2 linked regions of the Danio rerio genome follow. The protein of the gene in region 2 interacts with the protein of the main gene of each other region in a biochemical or structural test. Links are inferred from orthologs where the notes say so. Each region holds a gene or a part of one and is shown on either strand. Other genes may lie near its edges.

The links.
Region 1: the proteins of myo5b (region 2) and rab11fip2 form a complex in vitro, tested with the Homo sapiens proteins (2 studies listed by BioGRID). The link is inferred for Danio rerio from reciprocal best matches to the Homo sapiens genes MYO5B and RAB11FIP2.

What each region holds. Positions count from the first base shown.
Region 1 is NC_133188.1:22,752,714-22,766,741, reverse strand, and holds the start of rab11fip2 (rab11 family-interacting protein 2), read left to right. Parts: upstream 1-7,617; 5' UTR 7,618-7,813; intron 7,814-10,080; 5' UTR 10,081-10,333; coding exon 10,334-10,686; intron 10,687-14,028. UniProt on the Homo sapiens protein: A Rab11 effector binding preferentially phosphatidylinositol 3,4,5-trisphosphate (PtdInsP3) and phosphatidic acid (PA) and acting in the regulation of the transport of vesicles from the endosomal recycling compartment (ERC) to the plasma membrane.
Region 2 is NC_133196.1:23,904,935-23,917,540, reverse strand, and holds the end of myo5b (unconventional myosin-Vb), read left to right. Parts: intron 1-1,828; coding exon 1,829-1,918; intron 1,919-2,818; coding exon 2,819-2,969; intron 2,970-3,048; coding exon 3,049-3,343; intron 3,344-5,961; coding exon 5,962-6,136; intron 6,137-6,220; coding exon 6,221-6,301; intron 6,302-8,391; coding exon 8,392-8,544; downstream 8,545-12,606. UniProt on the Homo sapiens protein: May be involved in vesicular trafficking via its association with the CART complex. The CART complex is necessary for efficient transferrin receptor recycling but not for EGFR degradation.

The sequences.
Region 1 (14,028 bases), on a different chromosome or scaffold from region 2:
TGGCCGATTTCTGACTGAGGAAAGTTGAATGTGCTGGCCAGTTTGTTATTTGCCTAATAAATGACAAAAGGCTACAGCTGTTAAAACAAAATTCCTATTTTTCTAATGATGTAGTATAATGTAATATGATGTAATATATTTGTATGTTAAAAAAAAAAGTATTCTAAATACTTTAATAAGATTTAGAAATCTGTTTTAAATCTTTAGAAAGTGTTTTTGGTACATCAAAACATGTGGTTACAATGATCACCCGACAAGCTAACCCAACTAAAAATGGTGCTTAAAATGTCACTAGAATTTAAATCTCAAAATTTTATAGAAAATGAGGTGAATAACCCCAAAAAGGTCCACTTTTGAGAAATAAAGAACAACCCCTTTTACAGGGCTAGCTACGGGTCTGAAAAGCCAGTAACCACTGACTTCCATAGTCAAGATGACTGTAAGTTATAGAAAACCAAATACTAGCAGGCACCTTTTTGTTGAAACAACTTCAGAAAACACATACAAAAAAAAAAAAAAAAAACAGTCAAAAATGCTAATCAATTTAATGTTAATTGACTGCATTGATATCAAAATTACATCAACACACACACATAAACACAAAAAAAGTAAAAAATGCTAATCGATTTGATGTCAATTGATGCATTGATATCAAAATAACATCAAAACACACACAAAAAGTTAAAAATGCTAATAAAAATGCTAATCGATTTGATGTCAATTGACTGCCTTGATATCAAAATAACATCAAAACACACACACACACACACAAAAAGAAAAAAATTGCTTATCAATTTAGTGTCAGTCAACTGCCTTGATATCGAAACGACATCAAATTGACATCTAAAATTGCCATCAAGTGCTTCAAGAATCAATGTCATCAATTTGATGTCATTTTAACATTAAGGTAGTTTACATGCATTGAAGGGATACAAAATCCAGTTTACTTTTTAATTAAAGCTTTCAGCTGAATGAAACTTATGGTATAATATAAGACTTAAATGAACGTCAAGGTTTTGACATTTTTAATGTGTTTTTTGGGTCATTTTGGCATCAAGGTGCCTGTTGGAATGGAAATGAATGGTTACTGGTTTCTAGCTTTCTTCAAAATATCTTCTTTTGTTTTCAAAAGAAGAAAGTCAAACGGGTTTAAATGGTGAGTACAGTACATGATGACAAAAAACATTTTGGTGAAATAGCCCAAAATCATTTTTCACTTCTCTAAACCCATGAAACAGAAAAAAATATGTTACTTAAAGTTTTTATTTGTTGTTTTACATACAGTCATTTGTTTGGAGTCATACAAATATACACTAACCTCAACATCCTCATCCCTCAGACAGAATATGAACATGCACAAAATACTTTCAGTTAGTTGCATCATGAAGAGAATTTGTGCTGACACAAGATAAGATAAGATTAATGTGCTCTCATAAAATATCTTAATGTTACCTTTGACAACGTTAATCCATTTTTTTCAAACCCATCATATTCATGATTCGGCCTCAGAGGTTTTCTCAGTGCTCAAAGTGCAACTTCCTAACTTAACGCGGCTATGAAAAGGGGTGAGAGGTGATAGCCTTTAGTGATACTCAAATAAACACTCTTGAAGTATTGTTCCACACAATGGACTTTTCGGCAGCTGCAAGCCCCAAAATACCGTCACAGGCTACATGCACATCTGCAGATCTATATATCAAGGGCGCATCGCACACCCTAACATTCCACAGAGCGAAGCGCCGGCAGTGATTTGTGCTCTTCTCTCCTGCTTTTTTTCATTCTTATTATTAAATTTTCATCTGTAATCTGAATGTCCTCTCTTAAAAGCAGAGCCTTTTAAATCAATCTCGCAACCCGAGCGTAAACCTGAAGCGCATTATGATGTTACAATGGCATCCCTTCACCTTCTGGTGCTCCCTTCGCATATATATTGTCGTGCGCTAACAGATGTGCAATCTTGCAGCCAGAGATGCTTAAACGTGTTTAATAAATGTAAAACAACCTATATAGTGTTGAAGAAAGGGCTCTAAAGCAGAACCAGCTGTCTGACCGTGGCGAGAGACCTTACAGAGGATTCGGGCCCATAAAGATGATGCCTAATACAGGCCAACACGTGGGCCTTTGCTGATATGCAATACAGGGTCCTGTTGAATATTGGACAGTTTATGGGCTACAACATCATTCCTCTGGAAAAGTGGACTGAGGCCATACGTTACTCTGGGCTAATTTATGACTTGATGGATTTTTTTCCTTTATATACTCTATCAGAGGAGAACAATAAAAGGAAGCAGGTGAGGTTGGAATGTAAGAGCCTTTCATGTTTTTATCCCACTCCAGAGGCGCACAGGCGTATTATGGTCTTAGAAGGTAATACATGAAAGTGTCTAACAAATTGTCAAATTAAGGATTGGTGTCATGACCCCTGGTGGTGTCTCTTTACAGCCGTGAGCCTCTTCCACCCCATGAGATTCTGTAAAAGTGAAGAGTGTAAAATTGAGAACTGAATTTATGGTACAGAGTTGAAAAAAAAAAAAAAAAAAACATCTTTTCTATCTGTCTATGCTTTGTCTGTTTTTGCTCCGCCAACAAAAATAGATTAAAAAAGCCACAGCAGAACTGTTGCAACACGTAATAGTGATGTTTTTATACTAATATTATTCTCTCTTTTATTATAAAGAATTGTTACAAAGTGGATTGCAAAGATGATGTTTGGAGATTAAGTGAAGATAATGTAGGTTACATGTAAACACTCTGCACATTAATAATCCTACTTCCATACTTTTTTTTAAATGAACAGGTTGAGTGAATAATTCAGTAACTTATCTGAACATGTCTACTTTCATATTCAACCATTTATTCATTTTTTTTTTTTGGCTCAGCCCCTTTAATTGATCTGGGGTTGCCACAACGGAATAAATCGGTAACTCAAGCATATGTTTTATGCAGTGAACGCCCTCATTCACACTAATTCACTACAGACAATTTAGTTTACCCAATTCATCTATACCGCATGTCTTTGGACTGTGGGCAAACCGGAGCATCCGGAGGAAACCCATACGAACACAGGGAGAACATGCAAACTCCACACAGAAATACCAACTGACCCCAGCCGGGGCTCAGCGACATTCTTGCTGTGAGAAGATCATGCTACTCATACAATACACAATGTAAAAAAGAATATGACAAAAAGTCATGACAACAAATGAGTGTACGTTACTTTAAATTATTATTATTTTTTTTTTTTTGTTACACATACAGTTCTAAATTTTTTTGTTTGTTTGATTCACGTTGAGATTGAGAGATGGCTAAAAAGTTAAGATGATTCGAAAAAAAAACTAATTGTAGGCATTTTTAGTGTAAGAAAAAGCAAGTTGTGAGCTGAGTTTGAGTAAATGATTCAAATACTTTGTCACTTCTTTAACTTTAGAATGAACCTGCTTGTTTGAATGAATAGGTTAAAGGTGCAGTTGGTGATCTGTCTAAATGCTAACCGGTTAGCATAATATCTTTCAAATACATTCACCTGCCGTCCAAAGCAACACTTCTTAAAATCGCGAACGCGTACATTAAAGATGCCGGAGACTCACTAGATCATGTCATTTGCCAGTTAGCAAACTTTATAGTTCTTTATAATACTACAGTTCTGAATGAAATACTGTATTATATCTAGCATGATTTCAGTTGTGTAGTTAGCAAGCAAAACTTGACGTAATGTGCAATATTTTATGCACTTTCTCCTAAAGCGACTACTGTATGCTCAGTGGTTGGCCAGCAGGGTGCAGGAATTATACTTATAACGTTATTTTTATTAATGAATTATACTTATAATCGAATATTCAAAGTAGTATGGTAAGCAATAAAGAGGCCGTGTCATCATTGTTCAAAAATGAACCGATGTGAATATAAAACCTCAGCTCAGTAAAGCAGGCTAGGTGGAATATCGCAATTTACTTACTTTTGTTGTGAAACTAAATAAAAAATGACATTATTGATGCTGTAAAAGTTTGCGTAAGAAATTGAAATTGAAGTTTTAAGTGGCTTAACATTTTCATCCTTCCTGCAGCGTGCAAAAGTAACTCCAATATTAATTCAGGATTTTAAAAAGTTTTAATTCAACATTTGTTTTTACCGCTTTCACTCGTGTCCACGGCGCATGAACACACATCGGCAGATTTGCATGAACGGGTGCGCAGTTGTACAAATCTACATTTGCTGACAGTTAGTTTAGGCTTCTTATCAGAATTATGGGAATTATCGGCTTGACAATTTTTAATTGGATGAACATTTTTTAGTCTTATGCCTTACCAAGAATATAAAAATACATATAAATAAATTTTGATCATTTAATTTAAACATTATTATTGGAATAACAAAAACAACATAATAATACATAACATAACAACAACAACAAAAAAAAAATAATAACTGCACCTTTAAGTGGATAATTCCGTTACTTGCTTTAAAACACTCTGCAGTCCATTTGTATAGTTTCTAGTATATCAGTATACTTAGTTACTATACATAGCCATGTTTGATTAAATTATTCAGTGAGTAATTCAGTTTTTTGCATTTCTTAATGAATTTCATGCAAACACACTCTGTATCTGAATAGGGCTAATTCCATACTAGTGTTAGCCTGAGCAGTGTGTCCAGATTTATGTGTGAAACCAAATGTACATATACAGTAGTAAACAACTTTTAAAAAAGCCACAGGAATCTCTTCTTTAGTTCCTTGATGAATTAGCATTTCTCTTTTAAGGGTTAATAAATAAAGAGTGACTGAAAACATCTCCACAGGAAATACACAGATATTCTCTCAGTGATGTATAAAATAATCAAATGAGTGATACAAACAAGAAACGGCTATACACATGGACAATAAACATGGCTCCTTTTGACTGTGAAAGCACCTTCAAGTATTGCATGCAAGACGAGACAATCTTCCGCTCTGATTCCTCAGCTGCTTCCTGGTGTTTGCAATGAGGCTTAACTGGAAATGGCACAGGCAAGGGCCTCTCCTCAGTTTAAGCTGTCTTAAATGCATTTTATATGACCTAATATTTCACCACACCAGGCCCATTTTCATCCTGAGATACACTGCAGATAAGAGTTATAATCTATGTGTGACGAATGTGCCAGACTCATGCCTCTGACTCTGGTATGTACACAACACTCTGCGGTTATGGCAGGATGATGGGGATAAGGAGACAGAAAATGAATAAAATGAAAGAGCAGGTGTGTTTGGTTAGGTTCTACCTGTCAAGTGGGTGACACACACACACACACACACACACACACACACACACACACACACACACACACACACACACACACACACACACACACACACACACACACGTCTGTATTTAAATGTATCCCTTATCAGTACTTCAATGTCTCCACTCAAGAACATTGGCAGGCATTATGTTAACATGTTTGGTCTGTTTAGTTTTGTTAAGAGACCCCAACAGACATGTATTGACTTTACTGTCTACAAGAGTAGACATTGTATGAATCTCAGATAGGCTGAGGATGGGACAGAAGAAATATTCAGAGGTAATTCTTATCATTTGATTTTTTTTCTAATCTTTGATAATGCTAATAACTGGAAATCCGGTTTTCAAGCTTAATCAAATGCAACATAAATGTTCTCTGTAAGTTAGATAAAAAAATGATTATCTTTCGGTTTACAGACAGTGTCCACTACAACTTCATTTAGATTTACTTAAGAGTACATCAAAAAATCTTTTTAGGCATAAAATCATTTCATGACATTAAAAGAGTTATTTTAAGTCAGAGATGCCCAAAGTAGGGCCCGCAAGCCGAATATGGTGCATTGTAACTTTTGATTTGGCCCATCGTCCCATCTGAGAAGAGAGTGAGACTGATGAAGAGGTTTGGGGTGAATGCCTTTAAATGAGATGGTAATTTTTAATTTGACAGTACCATTTTCTTGTTTGTTTGTTTTATTTCTGAGCTACCAAAAAATGTTTTGATTATTTGTTGTACATGTATTAGATTTTTTATTATGTAATTAATTTCACTTGATAAATAGAGGAATATGCAGAAGACATCGGTGAGCAAATCAAGGCAAAAACTAGTGTAACTCCATTCTGTTATACACAAGATTGATTTTGTTTTTACTTTAATAAGTTCATTATAAAATGTAAAACATGCGGTATTAGTTATAGTTAATAAAGAGCAAAGTTTTCTAGTTATTTTAAAATATTATAAAATAAATTAGGAAGTTACCTAAAGCAACTAATATTGACCTTCGGCCCACTATCCTCAATCAAGTTTGGCTTTTCATCCCTTTATAAGGAAAAAGTTTGAGCTCCCCCGTTTTAAGTAGTTTTAACATTATAATGATGGAAAATTTCATCCATATTTTGCCATTTAGTTGTTACTAAAGTAATTTGGAAAATAATTAAAGTCTGCAGTTAGTTGATCAAAAACACAATAAATTAATTGTAATATTGTATTTTTTTTTTCTTTTTTTTCTTTCCTGGGGTGACACGGTGGCTCAGTGTTTAGCACTGTCACCTCATGACAAGAAGGTCGCTGGTTCGAGTCCCGGCTGTCCAGTTGTCGATTTTGTGTGGAGTTTGCATGTTCTCCCCATGTTCGTGTGAGATTCCTCCTGCTGCTCCAGTTTCCCCCACAGTCTAAAGCCACACGCTATAGGTGGATTGAATAAACTAAATTGGCTGTAGTGTATTAGTGTATCTGAGTGTGTATGGGTGTTTCTCAGTACTGGGTTGCAGGGCATCCGCTGTTTAAAACATATGCTGGATAAGTCAGCGGTTCATTTCGCTGTGGTGACCCCTGATGAATAAAGGGACCAAGCCGAAGGAAAATTATTGAATGAATGAAATTTTTTTTTTAATTAAGATAAATTGTCATTTTAGAATAAATGTAATTAATTCATGTGATTCAGAGATGAATATCAACACCCCAATGTCACATTATTATAATTTCTCAAAATATTTTAATAATCAAGGGCACATTAAATAAATCAAAATTGCCATTAAACCTATATACTGTAATGTTTCAAAATATTGTATATGAAATTATCACTGTTATTTTAAACATTGTATTTATAAAAGTACCATGAAAAACATAAAATGGAACATTTAAAAGAAAATGTTCCAACATAATGATACTTCAGTGTTTTCGTTTTGTTATATTTTGGAGTAGCCTAAATGCAGACTTGGTGAGCAGAAGAGAGCTCAAAACATAAAATAATAATAATAATAATAATAATATATATATATATATATATATATATATATATATATATATATATATATATATATATATATATATATATATATATATATATATATATATATATATATATATATATATACATATTAATAAAAATATAAAGGACCATTTTAGTATTTTCAATTTTCCTAAACATTTGACTGGCAATATTATACAATGCATTACAACATTTGTCCTTTTTTAAATTCTTGACCTGGTTGAAAGCAAAAGCAAAAGCGCACTGCTGAAAATAATGCTCCTCAGCCCAGTCACCGGAATCCCGGGAACAGCGCTGATCAAATCCATGGCAACAGAGGAGGAGTCTACACTTCGACCCATGACCGCATCGGCGGAAATGAGGAAGCAGGAAGTCGAGAGCAGGGCTGATGTGGAATACCACACATTTGTTTAAGATGAATTAGTGTCGATTAGAGTAAGTTATTAATTTACATTTACCGCAGATGTGGAGAACTGAAAGGGTTTCACTGTAGCGCTCTTCACACGTGCTGTGGTGTCGCTCGCTGTGCTCGAGAAAGATGCTTCACAGGTAAATATCAGAGCATTGTGCTGAATGGGTGTTTGACAGCACCACTGAGACTGGGCAATGCAGCTAGCCGAGCATCACTGGTGCTTTTCTATCATATCCGATCAATTAAATAAGAGGAGACCGCATGGAGGGAACCATGAAGAAGATGATGATGATGATGATCATCATCTTCATGTGGTGGTAAAAAAAAAATCCTTAGTATAAAAGTGACATAAAAGTAAATAAATTATGTAGCTGTTATAATTTGCCAGTTCTTTAAATGTTATATTACAGACACTAAAAAAACTTGCACTACTAAGCTACGTTACTAATAGTTGTTTACAGATGGCTGTCACACATTTAGCGTTATTTTTCTGAAATTATGTATTTTTTACTTAATATTTTTACTATATGCTATATATGTTTTACTAGTATATACTTCTGTGTGTATACTGTATGTGGCAACATAATTTAAGTCTATTTGATTTTTACAAATTTATGTGCACACTGTGGGGAAATAAATTTTATTTGATTTATTAATTGCTATATAGTCTCAGATTTACGTATGTTGTGTTGCCTATTATGTCTCACTTGTTTGTTAGAAGTACTCTGCTTTTTCTTATGTTATTCTTGTGTTTTATTTATTTGTTTACTTGTCAGGGGTTTTATTAATTTGGGGGCCCTAAGCAATTTCAGCCCAACATTCCTAAAATGCATTAAATGAAATTACATATTTTCAGCTACTGAAAATTCAATACATCTCCAACATGAGCACACTTTAGATTCTCGTTGTATAGGGCTGAGCGATATGTCAATATTGCAATCTCAAATATTTTTCATATTGACTAATAACGATATATATTTTGATATAAGTTGTTAATGCTTCCTGTTTTAAAGAGTATCCCAACAATGACTGAAGCCACAAAGATTAGACGCTTCATTAAATTATATTTTAAAGTATTATTAATTAACAAAAACAGTTGACACATTATGCAATTTTTTTTGGAGATTCCAATGTTGTATAATATACTTATGATATACAATGTGAAATATAATATTTTGAAGAACTGTCGTTGACATAGAGTACACAAACAAAGATACTTATTGCATTTTCTAAAAATGAACAATTACAGATTTTTTTTTTTTTTAAATAAATGTTTTACTTAATTGAAATTGTAAAAATATACATCATTAAAATAAGCAACAGTTTAAGAGCTAATACTGCTAGTGGGAAAGTTAATCAAGCTCGATAAACAATACTGAGTGAGGTTGCATTTCCCTAATATCAACACAATTACAGATTCCTGTTGTTGCATATGTGTGCTGTAGGCATGAGCCGGTATAAGATTCTGATGGTATGATAACCTTGGATATATCAGGGTATCATGGTGTTGTGCTCACTGCTCTAAAATTTATTCTTTTTAACTGTCTGGGTAAAAAAAAAAAAAAAAAAAAAAAAAAAAACTAGAACTTTTTTCTCCTTTTGAACACAATATATACTTTTGTTTTAAAAATGTTTCAGAGCAGTAAACTGTCAGGGTAAATAATTTAAATGAATCATTGACTTCTGCTGTCTTCATTAGTTTCAAAAACACAGATTTCTTTACAATTTAAAACAGCAAAATTTAATGGACATTTTTAACTGCTGGAGAAACTGTTGTCCTAAAAAACAAAACAAAAAATGTAAAGTAAAAATCTTACACATACCTAAGAATGGTAATACAAAAAATGTTGCCAGTTTTAAAACCTTGACTTTTTCAAACCGCAGTATACCTTGAAAATGATTATCATCCCATGCCTAGCTGTGTGACTGGCTCTTTGCATTGATCAATATTGAGTAAAAATTTCCAGAGCTTATTATTGTTATTGACATACATTTTATCATGATTAGATATGATATTGTTTATTGCCTGAGCTCTATTGTTGCACATTTCTGCTGTGTGATTGGCTCTTAGGTCGATATAGAGTAAAAAAACCCCCAGAGATTATCATTGTTATTGACATAAATTCTATCTTAATTCAATATAATATCATTGTACTTTTATTTATTTTCTGTTGATTTATTTTGGTGTTTTTTTGTCTCTCTCTTTCTGTTTTACCTTAATGCAATCTCTACATTGTAAATGGTTTACTTAACATGAATCCAATACTAATTGTACAATATAGTTGTAGAAATATAAATAAAGTAATATTTATTTTATCATGAATTAACATTATATTGAAAAATATAAGTCAAATGCACTATTGTTTTTTTCACACTGTTTTCTGTCTTTTGTCTTTGTTTATAGGTGACCTAAGTTGAAGCGGGGTGAATGTGGAGTGTTTGCGGAGTGTAACAAAATCATTACCTGCTCCATTAATAGATGTGACTGTAATGCTAAATATGCTCTTCACTTGCCCTTGAACAACTTTCGTTTGTATTACCTCTCAGTCGCTCATTTCTTGTTGATTGGAAGCTAAAGGAAAAATGGAAAGGCCAAACTAAAGTTCTACACTTCATCACTTCACACCAAAGTCCATAATTTTACACTTGAATTCATCATGTCATTGGGCGAACAGTCGCAAAAGTGGTTTCCAACCCATGTCCAAGCCACTGTTCTCCAAGCCACAGACCTGCAACCAAAGGGCAAGAATGGAACCAATGATGCCTACACAATCATCCAGCTGGGCAAAGAAAAATACTCCACATCGGTGGCAGAGAAGACCCTGAACCCAGCGTGGAGGGAAGAGGCTTCATTTGAGCTTCCAGGGCTGCTAATGGAGAGCAATCCAGAGGTTTATGAGCTCTGCCTCACAGTCATGCACAGGTCCTTAGTGGGACTGGACAAATTTCTGGGCCAAAAACTCATTAACTTAAATGAGATATTCGACAACAAGGAGCGGCGAAAAACTGAGTAAGTAGTTTAATTTTTCATTATATCCATTTCCTTTAATAGTCTACAGACAAAAGTCTTGTAGAAACACCCAACTGTAACATACCTTTAAATAAGCAGAAGTATAGCTTAAAAGAGGAATATGATACTCCATGTCTGTGTTGGTTTTTGGTACATTTCATGGTAACAGTGAAGTAAGTGACGTTTTTATGGTATTATAGGGCAGGGCGATTAATCGAAGGTCATTTTCATGCAAATTTAGATTTAAACCTCCAGCACATGCTTTTAGATGGAGCAGCATTTAATACAGAGCCGTATAACACTGACAGCGTATAATAACATTCAAAGCTAAAATCAATTTAGGTGGATGATAATGACACTGACATCATTATAATCGTTCTGTGAAAATGACGTCTGCTTTTGTGTTATAAATACTAATAATACCGTAATAATTTATGTTTTTACTCCAAACCTGCTACATAACAGCGATCATCAGTCGAGTGTTTGAAATAAATCCTTCTGTGAGATGATTCCGTAGTCGTGTGGTTTATAAGGCAGCATCAAAGACTAAAATCAGTATTAGACTGATTCAAAGCAGTTTAGTTTTCTATTAACAGTGCAATGCTATGTGGATTTCCTGGGTTTATGAGTTTTTTTTATATTTGCTACTGATCACACAACCATGGAGAAGATGTACACATAAGCTGTAAAAGATATGAACATAGTATTCGTGACGTCAACCATAGGTTTTTGAAGAAAGCAAAAGAAGCTACAAGTAGGCGTGGCCAACCATTGCCTTTTTGTTTGTGCGTCATCGCACCGACCAGGGGATACCAAACAATGGCAACGAGGCGGAGCATGAGCGGACCATCTTAAATAAAGCAAATACATTTATAGAGATGGTATACAAGTATATAATGGAGGCTTTGTGAGCACAATTTAGTGCACACAGCATGCCATATCATCTGATAATTGTAAGAAATAATTCCAAAATGCAAATGACTGTGTAAAGCTACATAAAACAAAACAAAACAAAAATATGATGTATATGACGAGTTCAGATGCTAATCAGCTGGAATCAGCTAAGGTGACCAGCGAGACCTAGTTGTCACTCAAGTGGCCCCGCCCTTAATTTTGCAGACTTCACTTAATATAATTTAATATGAACAAAAAGAATGAGCTTTAAAAAAATTACCCCCTCACAGTTGTCATGAAGGGTGATATTAGCTATATGAACCAAAATCTTTCTTTGTACCAGGCTGTAAACACCTTTTTTTTCTGCTGTAAATTTGGCCATTTTAACATTGGGCTCAATAGAAATCTGCTCTTTTGTGGCTCCACAATAGTGGAATAAACTAGCAGGATTTCGATGAATTGCAGTTTCTGTTACTTCCGTATTTGCTTCACGAGGGACAGGGGGAGGTTGCCACTTGAATGTACATGACAATCTAAATTGCATATGCAATTTCATTATGATTAATCGGCCAGCCCTGTGATAGCAGTTATTACTTTATCTACACAATTCATAAAATTGTTGTAAAATCACAGTTCTTACTGATAGTTTTGGATTGTCTGTATCTCTCTTGTTAGATTTTGCTGATTACCTTTATGAGAACAGACCTCAAAGTCTCACTCTGATATCTACAGAGACCTTAGTAGGTAATGCGTGTCAGCACATTGAAGCCAGGTCAGTCAATAATACTCCAGTAATAGCAGAATAAATGGCTTTGAAGTGACTTTGCTATTTTTAGCTCTTGTAACACTCAGTGATGCAGTTTTCTTTTAACATTCAGATAATGTTTTACCTAGTCCTCTGACGTAATCTCTGATCTTTGTTTTTGACTCTCATTGTTGTCATTGAGTTTTAAGTTATGAACATGCTATTGCTGTGCATTACTATAACAGTCTTATGCAGGTTGCTTTTATTCTTGTGTGAGATAAAGGCTCCATTTAACTTCAGTTTGAGTCACAGTCCCATGGTGGATGAACTGGTCTAGTGAGGATGACGATTATCATGCATGCTATTACTTTCCTCTTTGCTATTTAGGGCCTGATGACTAACTGTTGGGTTTTTTAATCCATGTGACTGACTTCCTTGTTTTGTTAGATGTGATATACAGTAGGCTGTCAAAACCTATGTATATAGGGTGTTTCATAAGTCTTAATATTTAATATTTCTCTTTTTTGGCATGCATGTACAGACTAGCAGTGTTTTATTAGAGTATTAGGACAGAAACTTGTATGGCTGGTTGAAGTAGAAAAGGCAGTGCCGGTGTCTAACAGAACTCATCTTAGTGGAACAAAAGCATTAACTATGTGAGGTAGCATGAATGTATTGAATGAGCCTCTAATACAAGTATTGTGAACAGAAAAAAATCCTTATATGAGTTTATTAAATATGATATATTCAAGTAAAATCATAAAAGCAAAAGAGGTGTTACACTGTATCGTCTGTGCACAAGCGCAATCACAATTTAGATTTAGATTTTTTATACAGTAGTTTAAAGAACAATACATTAGGGCTGAGTGATTAATCGAAAATTCGGTTTCGATTTTGATTTTGGCTACTAACGATTATGAAAAACCAATAATGGAGATAAACGATTATTGCATCAAATACTGCCCTTTTCCAGTTGTACACATTTGTTGCTCTGCAAAGCTCAGTTTCACATAAAAAATGACTAAAAGCATGTACTGTAATGTAATTTTGCAGCACGAGATGCGCATTGTTCATTGATGAACATTGGAATTCATGTTTTTAAAAGCGCAAATGAGACTGCATGCTGCTGTGTGTGTGTACATGCTGTCAGCATTTGGTCTCATTCGCAAACTGTGCACTTGGCGTCAGAGATGAGCAGAGCACACACATCTAAAGTCATCTTAATGTGCGCTTTAATGGTCAAATTTTAGTTTAGTTTATTTGTTTACAGGGTCAATGCACATTAATAAACATTACTGTAAAATGTGCCACAATTAGCCAAGAATGGCTATTTTTTATCTGTAGACTCCTTACAGAATGTTAAAAAGTCACACCTAAAATAGAAGCACAGCATAATAGGTGTCAAAACACGGTCTTTAGTGATTTTTTTTTTTTTTTTTTGAACTTGAGAACCATAGGACTTGCGAAAACCTGAGGGACTATATAACAGACCTAATCCAGGTAGAAACACTGTTTTTTAAATGATCGTTATAAAAAAAATCCAAGATTTATTTGTTGTCTTAATTGTTCAGTTAATCATGTAAGTTCATGTAAATGTTCTTTTTTATGATTATTTATTTATTGCAGAACAAAGCCAGCATACATAGCTAGCAACAACTTTATACAAGCCAGGGTTTGCATTAAATGAAAATACATAAAGAAAT
Region 2 (12,606 bases):
CCATGAACATTTCCTGCTTGTAATCTAACTTTTTCATAAACGTAACAAGAGGCAATTCAATCATAACTTAATGTTAAAACAGTGATCATAACATTATTGATCAACGTGTCTCTTTTTGGATTCTCAGGGGCTATAGAAATTAAAAATTTGAAAACAAGATATATATTTGGACCATTGTTTTTTGTTTACATCTCTCAAAATGGGCTTTACTACTGTATACTTTAATTTATCAGCACGCCTTTCATAACTTCCATGTATTTTTAAATTATTATATTATGTATTATAGCCATTTGCTTCCATGATAGTCGTTATCTCTAAATAATCTTTTATTAAGGGATGTGCTGTTGGGGATGTTTTTATCCACTCTGGGGTGTTTTTGATTCTTAATTTGGCCATATTTTTTTCCTTGTTTCAGCTAGTGAAGTGATTTTGGTGACAAATCTTTTTTTGACACATATTTTGAGAAAATGCTTTGAAATTAAAAAAAAAAAACTCAACGATACACTCTTGCCACATTTACTACATTTTTTATATGTTTGCATAAATCTGTTAATCAACCTCAGTCTTGATCAAAACTGCTAAATTGTTTAGAAAATTACTGGATTTTAACTCTTTAATTGCTAAATTCGTAAATGATGTCACTGATTTGGTGGAAAAAAACACACAAAATGGCGTATTTTTAATATAAAAAGTTATGTGGACTGGATTTTTTTAACCGTTTATCAAAGTGCTGGACATGTAAAACAACGTTGTCTTTAATTCATTGTTTTTGATTGATTTACATTTTTTCTCCCTAGTTTACTGTTGGTGGCTGTTTTAGCCACATTGACTTTCATTACAACCACATTTATTGATTGTAAGGCCATGACATCATAAACATACGTTTGTGATTGTTGGTGGTTTTCTCTGTTGGGAAGAGGTAAAATTTGTAGTTTTTACTGTTGATCATCAGTTGACACCAATAACCCTTTAAATATGCCTGTGCAAAAAAAGCTTAGTGAGTGTGTGAGAGTGACCTTTGTGCACTTACCTTGATGTGTCTGAGAGAATCAAAATATGCATCTCAGCTCTCAGAACTACATGTAATAAATAAAACCAAGAAAAATAAATCCAGTCCACAATTACTTTTTTAATATTGAAAATATGTCATCTTGTGTTTTATTCACTAAATCAGTGATGTCATTTTTGAACACATAAATTTTAAAAACATTTAGTAGTGTTGATGAGGACTGAGGTTGACATTCATCAGCTGGGATAAATCATTCTGAAAGAGATCCCAATAATATTGCTCCTCTGTATCTATATGCTTGTAAATGTGGTGGTGGGAACTCTGCTATTCTTTAAAACTGTAAATGATCTTTATAATTATCGTGCTTGATGTGAACAGGGCATAAGAGTCATTAACAGGATAGTTCAACCAAAAATACTATTTACTCAGCGTTTACACTCCCTCAAGTGACTTTTTTTTATCTTGTAAACACAGATGAAGATGTTTTGAAGAATTTTGGAAACTGTGGAGGTCAATGGCCACTGCTTTCCAAAATTCTTCAATCTTCTTTTGTGTTCATGAGAAGAAACTCAAACAGGTTTGGAACGAAGTGGAGGAGTAAATGATTACAGAACTCTCATTTTTGGGTGTATTTCTCTTTATGAAAAGTTAGAATTTGTCAAGTATTTATTTAATTGATCAAAATTGACAGTGAAGACATTTTTTAAAAGTTATTTTTAAATAAATGTGATGAAATCTTACCAATCCTTAAACCTTTAAACAGTAGTTTGTAAGGCAATAATTATAGGTTATCAATCGTCTGTTTTTTTGACTGTCTAGAAAAACAACGATGACTTTGAGATGACCTCCTTTTGGCTGGCAAATGCAAGTCGACTTTTACACTGTCTGAAGCAGTACAGCGGCGATGAGGTGAGATTTTAGACTTTTTACATTGTTTTATTTATATATACTGTATATCTGATTATTTAATTTTGTGAATAGTAACTCAAGCTCCTTTTACCCAATTTTATTTGGTCATTTTGCAAATAAATAAGCTCAAGTGATGCTTAAAAAGTTGGCTTTTAAAGACCATATTAACCCAGTTTTAATCTTTGTGTAAAGTTTTTTTTATATTTTTCTTAATCTACATTCTGGTGACAGTTACACTGTTTCCACCTCCTGGTATTAACATTCAATTTAACATTTCTATGTTATTGTGCAAGTATTAACAGGAGGTTGATTGAGACCGTTTCTATATGTATTTAGCAGATTGAAAGTAAACTACGGCAGCTGTAATAACACAAATAACAGATTAGATTACAAATAACAGCAAAGTAGTTGTTTTTCTTGATAATATGTTACAAACCAGCTTCAGATGTCAGCAATTCTGTTGCTGTCTTTTCCTATCATGAGATAAATACATCTCATGTATTTATCCTTTCCTTTTCTGACTGTAAATGTCTGGTCGCTGGAATCATGTGGACAAACACAGTAGGGTACCAAGCCCTATTTGTTAAAAGTTGATATACATGAATCTGAATTATAGAGTGTCCTATGTGTATCACCCATGGCTTTCCGATCTTTGTTTATTTTTTTAATAAACAGTGTGAGATGTCATGTGATGTTGTTCATCTGAGGTGTTATCTTTCAAATTTTAAGACCTACCAAGCAGTTTTTTTTAATGTCTTGAAACTAAAAAACCTGAAATTCAATAGGGTGTCTTTTTACACGACTGTAGTTACTTAAAATAAGCCAATAGTCCACAGGGGAGCATCAAAAATAAAGTGTAACCAGTGCTCGGTATGATTTGCCTGTCTAATTCTGTCCTAGGCGTTCATGACCCAGAACTCTGCCAAGCAGAACGAGCACTGCCTGAAGAACTTTGACCTGGCGGAGTACCGACAGGTTCTGAGTGACCTCTCCATCCAAATCTATCAGCAGCTTGTGAAAGTTGCCGAGGCCAACATGCAGCCCATGATCGGTAGGTGCAGAGAGACACCAAACCAAAGAAGATTGATCATTAGCACAGTACATTTTTTCATAATGAGTGTGTTTTGTAGTGTCTGCCATGCTTGAGAGCGAGAGCATCCCCAGCCTGGCCGGAGTGAAGCCCATGGGTTACAGGAACCGCTCCTCTAGTGTGGACTGTGAGAGTGGAGGTCCCGCAGGATACACGCTTCAGGCACTGATCAAACAGCTGGCTCAGTTTTACTCTACCATGGCGGACCACGGCCTGGACCCTGAGATCAGCCAGCAGGTGCTTCGCCAGCTCTTCTACTCCATCAACGCAGTGACCCTCAACAACCTGCTGCTGCGCAAGGACGTCTGCTCCTGGAGCACCGGCATGCAGCTCAGGTACACATTTTTAATGCTTTTAGGCTAATTAATATTTTTCTCAGCAGTCATCATAGTTAGGTAAACTTAAAGAGCAGTGAATGGGTTTAATTACAGCCACAAAGTCAATAAGGGCTTTAAAATGTGCATTTGTATTAAATGTTTGATGTAATCTTAATCAAAATATAAAGAGAGGGTGGGGCAAATAGTAGCATGATTAGCATGATAGTAGCATAAGCTCTTTTTTTAAAAACAGCCAATAGCATTTCGTTTTCATTACAGCTCTGCCTTAAATAAGAAGCGCTTTGAAGGTGGTAGTGGGGGTGGCGGGGGCATGTTAGATACTAGAGCACATTTGATTGGTCAAGATTTGGTAAGAATCATTGAAAAAAAACGTTGATCCATTTAGACGGAACTGCAAACTGCAAGCTTTGGGTGTTTACGTCAGGTTTATATCATCTAAACATGAAATTCGTCAATGCTTTGGAGAGCACTAGACATTTAACACTAACATACTGATACTAACACCTGAAAAACATTATTTGCCAATGGTGCCAATAGCCTAGTGGTTTTTGCAGCAACATGTTGCACTGAGGTACTCATGGCAACCCAAGTTCAAATCCCGGCTCGAGATCCTTTGCTAATCCTTCAAGTCTCTTTCTGCTCCCAATGCTTTCCTGTCTAAAATCTCCACTGTCCTATCCTAATAATGGTGAAAAGCCCCTAAAAAGTAATAAAAAAAAGAAAGATATTTTGCATGTTACCTTGGTGAAAACCCTATGTAAAGCATCATTTGTTTGTGTTTATCTTTTTCTTTGATCATACTCTGGAGTTTAAACAGGTCTTGGTAAATTGGGTCTTGTAGATGGTTTGTGATGTGTTTTTTTTAGTCCTGGGCAAAAATTGATTCATCTCATCTAAACTAAAAGTTTGTTTTGACATTTGAATTTAAGTGTGTGTATATTTATTATGCATGTTCTGTGTAAAAACACATGCCTGCATAAATCTCACAAATTGTTTATTTATATTTAGATTTAGTATATACAAATAGGTTCATAAATATTTGGACTTCGACACAATTCTAACATTTTTGTGTTACAAGATGTGCTTTAACTGCAGACTTTTTACATCTAAATCAGGTGAAAGCTGTAGGAATTACAACCGTTTGTATATGTGCCTCCTACTTGTTAAGGGTCCAAACGTAACTGGACAATTGGCTTCCAAGTTGTTCAATGGCCAGGTGTGTGTTATACCCTCATTATGTCAATTACAATGAGCAGATAAAAGGTCCAGAATTCATTTCAAGTGTGCTATTTGTATTTGGAATCTGTTACTGTCAACTCTTAAGATGAGTTCCAATGAGCTGTCATTATCTGTCAAGCAAGCCATCAATAGGCTGAAAAGAAAAACACCAGAGAGATAGCAGAAACATCAGGTGTGGCCAAACAACTGTTTGGAACATTCTTAAAAAGAAAAAAATGTCCCAGTGAGCTCAGCAACACCAAAAGACACGGAAGACCACAGAAAACTGCTGTGGTGGATGACCAAAAAATTCTTTCCCTGGTAAAGAAAACACTCTTCACAACCGTTGGCCAGTTTAAGAACACTCTCCAGCATGTAGGTGTATTTCTGTCAGAGTCAACAATCAAGAGAAGGCTTTACCAGAGTGAATACTGAGGGTTCACCACAAGATGTAAACCACTGGTGAGTCTCAAAAACAGGAAGGCCAGATTAGAGCTCTAAAAAAGCCTTCACAGCACTAGAACAATATTTTATGGACAGATGAGACCAAGATCAACTTGTACCAGAGTGAAGGGAAGAGAAGAGTATGGAGAAGGAAAGGAATGGCTCATGATCCTACACAGTGAAGCATGGTGGTAGTAGTGACATGGCTTGGGCATGTGTGGCTGTCAAAAGAACTGGTTGTCTTGTATTTTATTGATGATGTGTCTGCTGACAAAAGCAGCAGGATGAAATCTGAAGTGTTTCAGGCAATATTTTCTGCTCATATTAAGCCAAATGCTTTAGAACTCATTGGATAGTGCAGATGGAAAATGACCCAAATAAAACTGCTAAAGCAACCAAAGAGTTTTTGAAGTGAAAGAAGTGGAATGTTATGCAATGGCCAAGTCAATAACCTGACCTGAATCCGATTGAGCATGCGTTTAACTTGCTGAAGACAAAACTGAAGGGAAAATGCCCCAAGAACAAACAGGAACTGAAGACAGTGGTTGTAGAGGCCTGGCAGAGCAACACCAGTAATGAAACCCAGTGTTTGATTTTAAGTTTGATTTATGATTATTATTCTGTCTAATTACTTTTGGTCCCTTAACAAGTGGGAGGCACATATGCAAACTTTTTGATCTCAAATACCCTCAAATTAAAGCTGACAGTCTGTGGTTAAAGCACATCTTGTTTCATTTCAAATCTATTGTGTTGGTGTATAGAGCTAAAAATGTTAGAATTGTGTCGATGTCTAGTTCTTTTTTGTTTGTTAATTCTTGCTTCTTTCTAATTTTGTTGCATTCTTTGCATAGGTAAAATATGTCAAATGTGAAACCTTTTTGCAATCTTTGACTTCAAGAAAACATAATTGACTAAAAAAAGTAATGTCAGATGAATGTAACGTGTGGTTTCAGGTACAACATCAGTCAGCTGGAGGAGTGGCTAAGAGGGAAGAACCTGCACCAGTGTGGAGCTGTGGCCACTATGGAGCCGGTCATTCAGGCCGCGCAGCTGCTGCAGGTGAAGAAGAAGACATCACAGGACGCTGAAGCCATCTGCTCGCTCTGCACTGCACTCAGTTTACAGCAGGTACACATTTAGCTTTCATTTTTTTCCTTTCTATTTGTTTTGTTTTGTTTTTACTTTTATTAACTCAATTTTGCTCTATCTCAGATTGTGAAGATTCTGAACTTGTACACACCACTCAATGAGTTTGAGGAGCGAGTCACTGTTTCCTTCATAAGAGACATACAGGTAAAATGAAGCACACATACATACATGCACTTATAAATCAAAACATTTAAGCATTCCATATTAAAAACAATGAAATTTTGAGGTCACAGCACAAGTTACAGAACATACACCTGCTTGAAAAGTATAATGCTGCGTCCCAATTTGCATACTATCCGCCCTAAATAGTATTCGAAATTAGAATTAGTATGTCTGAAACCATAGTATGTTGAAAAAAGCATGCCAAAGATTCCCGGAGTGTCTACTATTTCTAGTAAAAATGCGAAATGTAGAACTGTCCATAGTCTCACCCAGACCTGGCCATTTTACGGCCAGTGAAGTATTTATTTAATTTAAATTCAACTGCAAAAAGGGCCTTTCAATGCACAGGTCTGATATTGCGAGTGAACAAAAAGGGACTTTAACATATAGCATCTTTTGCCCTCTCAGTTTCATTATTTTAAATGGAGACATGCCTGTTCAGCGCGCAAATACTGTAGGAAGAGATACACATGTGGTATGTCACGCTCACGTTTTCCAGGCGACACGGGTTGAAAAAAAATCTAAACATTTCAGTGCAGCAAGCGAACCACAAGTCATGTGAAAGGAACCAACCAGGCAACTTCACACTTTGTATAGAATTACACAGTAATAAAAGTAGACTAATTACCTCAGATTAATGGTTTAACAAATGCAGATACAGATCCTCTCTCAGTGATGATCATTACAGCACATATCCACCTCACATTGGCCTGAATTCAGTGCGCTTGTTCAGCCCAACTCAGGCTAGAATTCTCTAAGTTAATATAAAAATTAAGGATAAATAAATAAAATGTACCTAAGGTGAAGCAATCAAATTATGAAGGGAAAGAAGTAGAATGTTATGCAGTGGTCAAGTCAATCACCTGATCCGAATTCGATTGAGCCTGCATTTCACAAAACTGAAGGGAAAATGCCCCAAGAGCAAACAGGAACTGAAGACAGTTGAGTAGAGGCCTGGCAGAGCACCACCAGCAATGTAAATACCCACCGACATGGAACTTTCGCCTGTGTTATGGTACCTTGTTGCAATTTTAGTTTCCCTAACGGGATAATAAAGCAGAGTCTGAGTCACTGTGGTGTTGATGTGAGAGTGACGTACTGCATGTGTATCTCTTCCTATTTGCGCGCTGAACAGGCGCATCTCCATTTGAAATAACGAAACTGAGAGCGCAAAAGGCATAGCTAAAGTCCCCTCGTGTTAACTCGCATTGTCAGATCAGAATGAATATTAACTGAAGTAAAGCAATCAATCAAACAACCCCGTGGCATTTATATGAAGTCAGTATTGTGATGCTGCTCTTTAAAATACTTTTTATTTAAAATTGATTCTTTTTTAAACGAGAGTTTTTATGAATGTTAATTGAATAGTTTCACAGAATGTTTTTATTTTTTGAAAACAAATACCTGTATTGGTCTAGCTTTCTATACCCCCCAGAGTCTAATGTGGACCCTGGAAAAATTAGTTGCACACCCCTGCTCTAACCACTAATATTGCCCCAATACAGTGTGCATTAAATTTGATTAGTACTACAAACTTGGGTAAAAAGTGTAAACAAGCTACAAACATGGACGCACAAGACCAACTGTTAAGTAAAGGGGCTTTGGTTAAGAAGTTTTAATGACTATGAGTTAATTTCTAGCCAACTTTAAAAAAATGAAATCACGTTTTCCATGTTATAGTTCATCTGCAACACCAATATGAACTTCTATAAAAAAAATTAACATATTTATCCAAAGAACTAAGGAGATTTTCTGCATGAAAAACTTGCGAATGTTAGATTAACCTGCTTCTGCATCTTCAATAAGGTAGATCATTAAATATGAAAGAAATGATTGACAGGGGACCTACTGTAACTAACTAAGCAACAAGACATCCATTAATGAAGAAGTAATATGTCCCAAAACTTGCATACTCTTCAGTTACACACTCAAACGTATGTACATTTTCTTCACAGAACAACTACATACTTTAAAGACGTAGTATAAGCATGTGAATAGAGACTAGAGTATGAATATTTTCTGATGCCTTCTCGGTGCGATTATCTGATGAATACGCTCACTGTCCTTCACAGAATCGCCTCCAAGATCGAATAGAAAACAACCAACTGCTGGCGGACACGAAATACACCTTCCCCGTGCTCTTCCCGTACACTCCTTCCAACCTCAGCCTGGAAACCATCCACATCCCAGCCTCCCTCAGCCTGGACTTCCTGACGCGGGTCTGACATCTCCGTCTCTCTGTCTAACACTGAGCTCCGGCACAATCAAACCTGCAGAAACCAGAGCTGGCCGGACGCAGATCTGCTAATATAACCCACATACTAACACCACCAATTCGACCTGTGGGTACTTTAACCAGATGAACCGTCTTCTCCCTGACCGACTAACTGTGGTGTTGAAGTCTGATGAACTATGCGGTGTAAATAAGCTGTCTGCCTTTTCACTCACTCCCTGAACAAAGTGAAAACGCTGTATTTTGGATGGGGATGCGTTTGACTAATACTTATGATTAAATGGAAATGAAAATACGAGGGTTTTTGGGCTACTGACACTAAACACTAATACCAGAGTGTGTGTTCGTCATGTATCTGTGTTAGTATGCACTGATTTCTGTGTGTTTGTAATGGAAAAGTGTATTTTATTTTTCTTTGCTTGTGCTGGAGTTTCATCTCAGAAAACATGGACTCCTACTGAAGCAGCGCCGCCATCTTGTTTTTTATTTTCTAGGAGAACTTTTAAAATGGGCTCCAGAGATTCATTTCCACAGAAGACGCTGGAAATCTCTGCATTGCAATGGCTGTTTCCACTGTGACCAATCTGGATTTGCTCTGAACATGGTGTTTTCATGTTTTTCCCATGTGTTGAAGAATCTGATGCAGAGACTCGGGGCCCTGAAACACAGAGCCAAAGGGATAGGGCAGATAGTGAAAGTGTCATTGAAAAGCGGAAGTATGTGAAGCAGAGAGACTCAGGACGTCGAGAGGAGTTTGAGCTGGGATATTTAATATGCTGTGGAAATCAATAATGGTGGGATTGTCGTCTGTCGGTGGAATCTAGAATGTGCTGCAACCACAATTTTTAAAAGATATCTAATAGACGTCTAATAGACATCTTAACAAAGTCGTCTTGGCTAAAACAAGGATAAATTTGCGCTGTTATACACCTCTAAGAATAGGCCAAAACTAGACTAGTCATCAAATAAACAGAAATGAATGACTGCACATATAAAGTCTGTCTAATCTGTCAACTTGACAACAATAGTTTTGGGCTATTCTTAGATGTCTCTTAGATTTTCACTGACGGCCCAAGTTTAGCCTTGTTTAGCCAAGCTGTCTACATTTAGATGTCTACACTGCAAAAAATGCTTTTCTTGCTTAGATTTTTTGTCTTGTTTCTAGTCTAAATATCTAAAATTTCTTATATCAGGAAGCATTTTTTAGACAAGCAAAACATATTGCCTTGATTTGAGAAATAATATGCCAATATTAAGTCAGTTTTTCCTTAAAACAAGCAAAATAATCTGCCAATGGGGTAAGGAAAATAATCTTGTTTTTTCTTTTGATGTAAGATTATTTTGCTTACCCCATTGGCAGATTATTTTGCTTGTTTTAAGGAAAAACTGACTTAATATTGGCATAATATTTCTCAAAACAAGGCAATATGTTTTGCTTGTTTAGAAAATTCTTCTTGATTTAGGAACTTTTAGATATTTGGACTAGAAACAAGACAAAAAATCTAAGTAAGAAAAGCATTTTTTGCAGTGTATTAGACGTCTATTAAACACAAATTGTTTGCTGGGCAGGTTGTGATGTAGAAATGTATTTCAGGAGGTGTCGTTTAAACTGGCATAAGTACAATAAAAGGCATTCTCAAAACTAGCAGGTTGCGATTTCACGAAAGCAATTATCTCGATTTACTTTACACTGTTGCACAGCTCTGTGAACGATCATGTGCAGTCGATAGCAATAACTACGCACTTTTTCTTTGACTTTTATGAAAAGTACATTTTTATATAATCTCTACGATGTTTTCCCTCGTACGTTGCCAACTGAATGAGCTGTTCTGCAAGAATAGTGCATTGTGTCGATTCAGGAAACTTCATTTGTTTCAAAGTGATCATCTTTTAGTTTTAGCTTTCAACATTTAGGCTCTACAGAAGTCAAATTCTCCTCGCTCTGAAGAGATTCTGAGTTATCTCCATGCCAATAAAGAATTGTCAAATAGTTCTTTCAGTGTCAATAAAGAACTGTCAATTTTCTGTGTTGTAGTCTTGCATTATTTCAGAGGTGGGGGGTTTTTAAAAAAAAATCTGACTATTAAAACAAAAGTAACCAATTTTATTTTTACAATGTCTCTCTCTGTGTGAAAGTGTGTGTGCTTATGGTGAGTCTGTGCATACATTTTATACTTGTTAGGCACAACTGTCCTTTATGTAGTGCATTAGGGTGTTCAGAGTAAACAATCAGAAACTTCATAATCCACCAGGGTTGTACCATAAAATGTTTCTACCAGAAAAATCATTATAAATTTATTCATGCTTCATTTCTGTAAATACAATGCTGAGAGCTTTACCTAAAAACCCAGTCTAAAAAAAGCATAGTGTTGTCCATGCTCTTGATACAATTAGTGTAAGAAATTAATTAGCGGTACAATTCATGTGTAAGAGAGCATTATTTATAAATCGAAAATGTACTACTGATTATGGTTTTGAATTGTGAATTACACCTTGCCTTGCTTTCTGTTCAGTAACAGTAAAGCTTTTCAGACAGTGTTTCATGCATAATCATGTCTTTATTTTATTTACTATTTTAAGTGTGTAAAACATTGTCGTTTTTATATTGAAATGCATTACAATAGGAAGGCATATGCAGAAGTAATAATAAAGACCAGCCAAGTATTGGGACACTTGCTGATCAAAGTACATTAATACTGGTGAACGTCTATTGTCTCGAGTTTAAAACAAAATCTATAAAAATGACCTGTTTATGAATCAAAAGGAAGACTGGGATGCTTCAATCATTCCTAGCTCTGTTTTTGTCCACATAAACTCTTTTTTTAAGCCAACATATTTGTTGTTACAAATATTGGGCAGCATTCTTGAAAAAACACAATGCTGAAGAGTGCTGAGTTTCATTTTAAACAACTTTTCACTTGAAGGGGTCAACACATGTACCTTGATAATGACCTGCAATATGTTCAGGCATAGCAGTGCGCTCACCATACACCAGCTATAGGTGGAGTGGAGAGACACAGGCAATTCAGTGTATGGGGATGATTTGGAGGCTATAATGGAAAGGGCCAATGGTGGAAATTTAGCCAGGACACCCCTAATGCTATGGCATTTTTAATGACCACATAGAGTCAGATTTAACATCTCATCCAAAAGACAGCCCTTACTGACAGTATAGTGTCCCCTTTACTAAATTTGGGTTATTAGGACTCACGCAGACCACAAGTTGAACGCCCCCTGCTGGCCTCACTAACACCACTTACAAAAGCAACCTACTTTTCCCATGTGGTCTCCCATCCAGGTACTGACCAGGCTCAGACCAGGCTTCAGTAAGTAACCAGTCTTGGGCTGCAGGGTGATATGAGTGTTTCCTGTATGCTGGGTTGCAGACTTAACCTAGTTGTATTAAAAGTCTTTTTGTTTTTATTTTGAAATTTGCCAGATGAACGCATAAAGTCAGCTTATGAGGTCCATGATATCTATCAGAAATAACACTAACGTTTCAGCAAAACCATGAATTTTACATCCTGCTGGAGTCTTATCATTTCTGTAGGAGTTTACACAATCCCACAGGACACCAGTGGACATATATAATAATATACTGTACATGAGAATCCTGCTCTTTACTTTCAGTCATACAGGAACAACCCTACAGGAGTCCTGTAGCAATGTACCCTGTCCTGCAGGATTTTCATTCAGTCCAACATGATTCCTGCCTGCAGGATCCTTACACATTATTCATTCATTTTCTTTTCGGCATAGTCCCTTTATTAATCAGGGGTTGCCACGACGGAATGAACCACCAACTTGTTCAGCATATGTTTTACACAGTGGATCCCGTTCTAGCCGCAACCTAGTACTGGTAAACACCCATACACTCTTGCATTCACACACAAACATAGAGCGGCCAATTTAACTTATTCAATTCACCTATAGCTTTTGTCTTATAACTTGAGGGGTAAACCGGAGGAAACCTACCCAAACAAGGGGAGAACATGCAAAGTCCACACAGAAATGCCAACTCCCAGCCAGGGCTCAAACCAGCAACCTTCTTGCC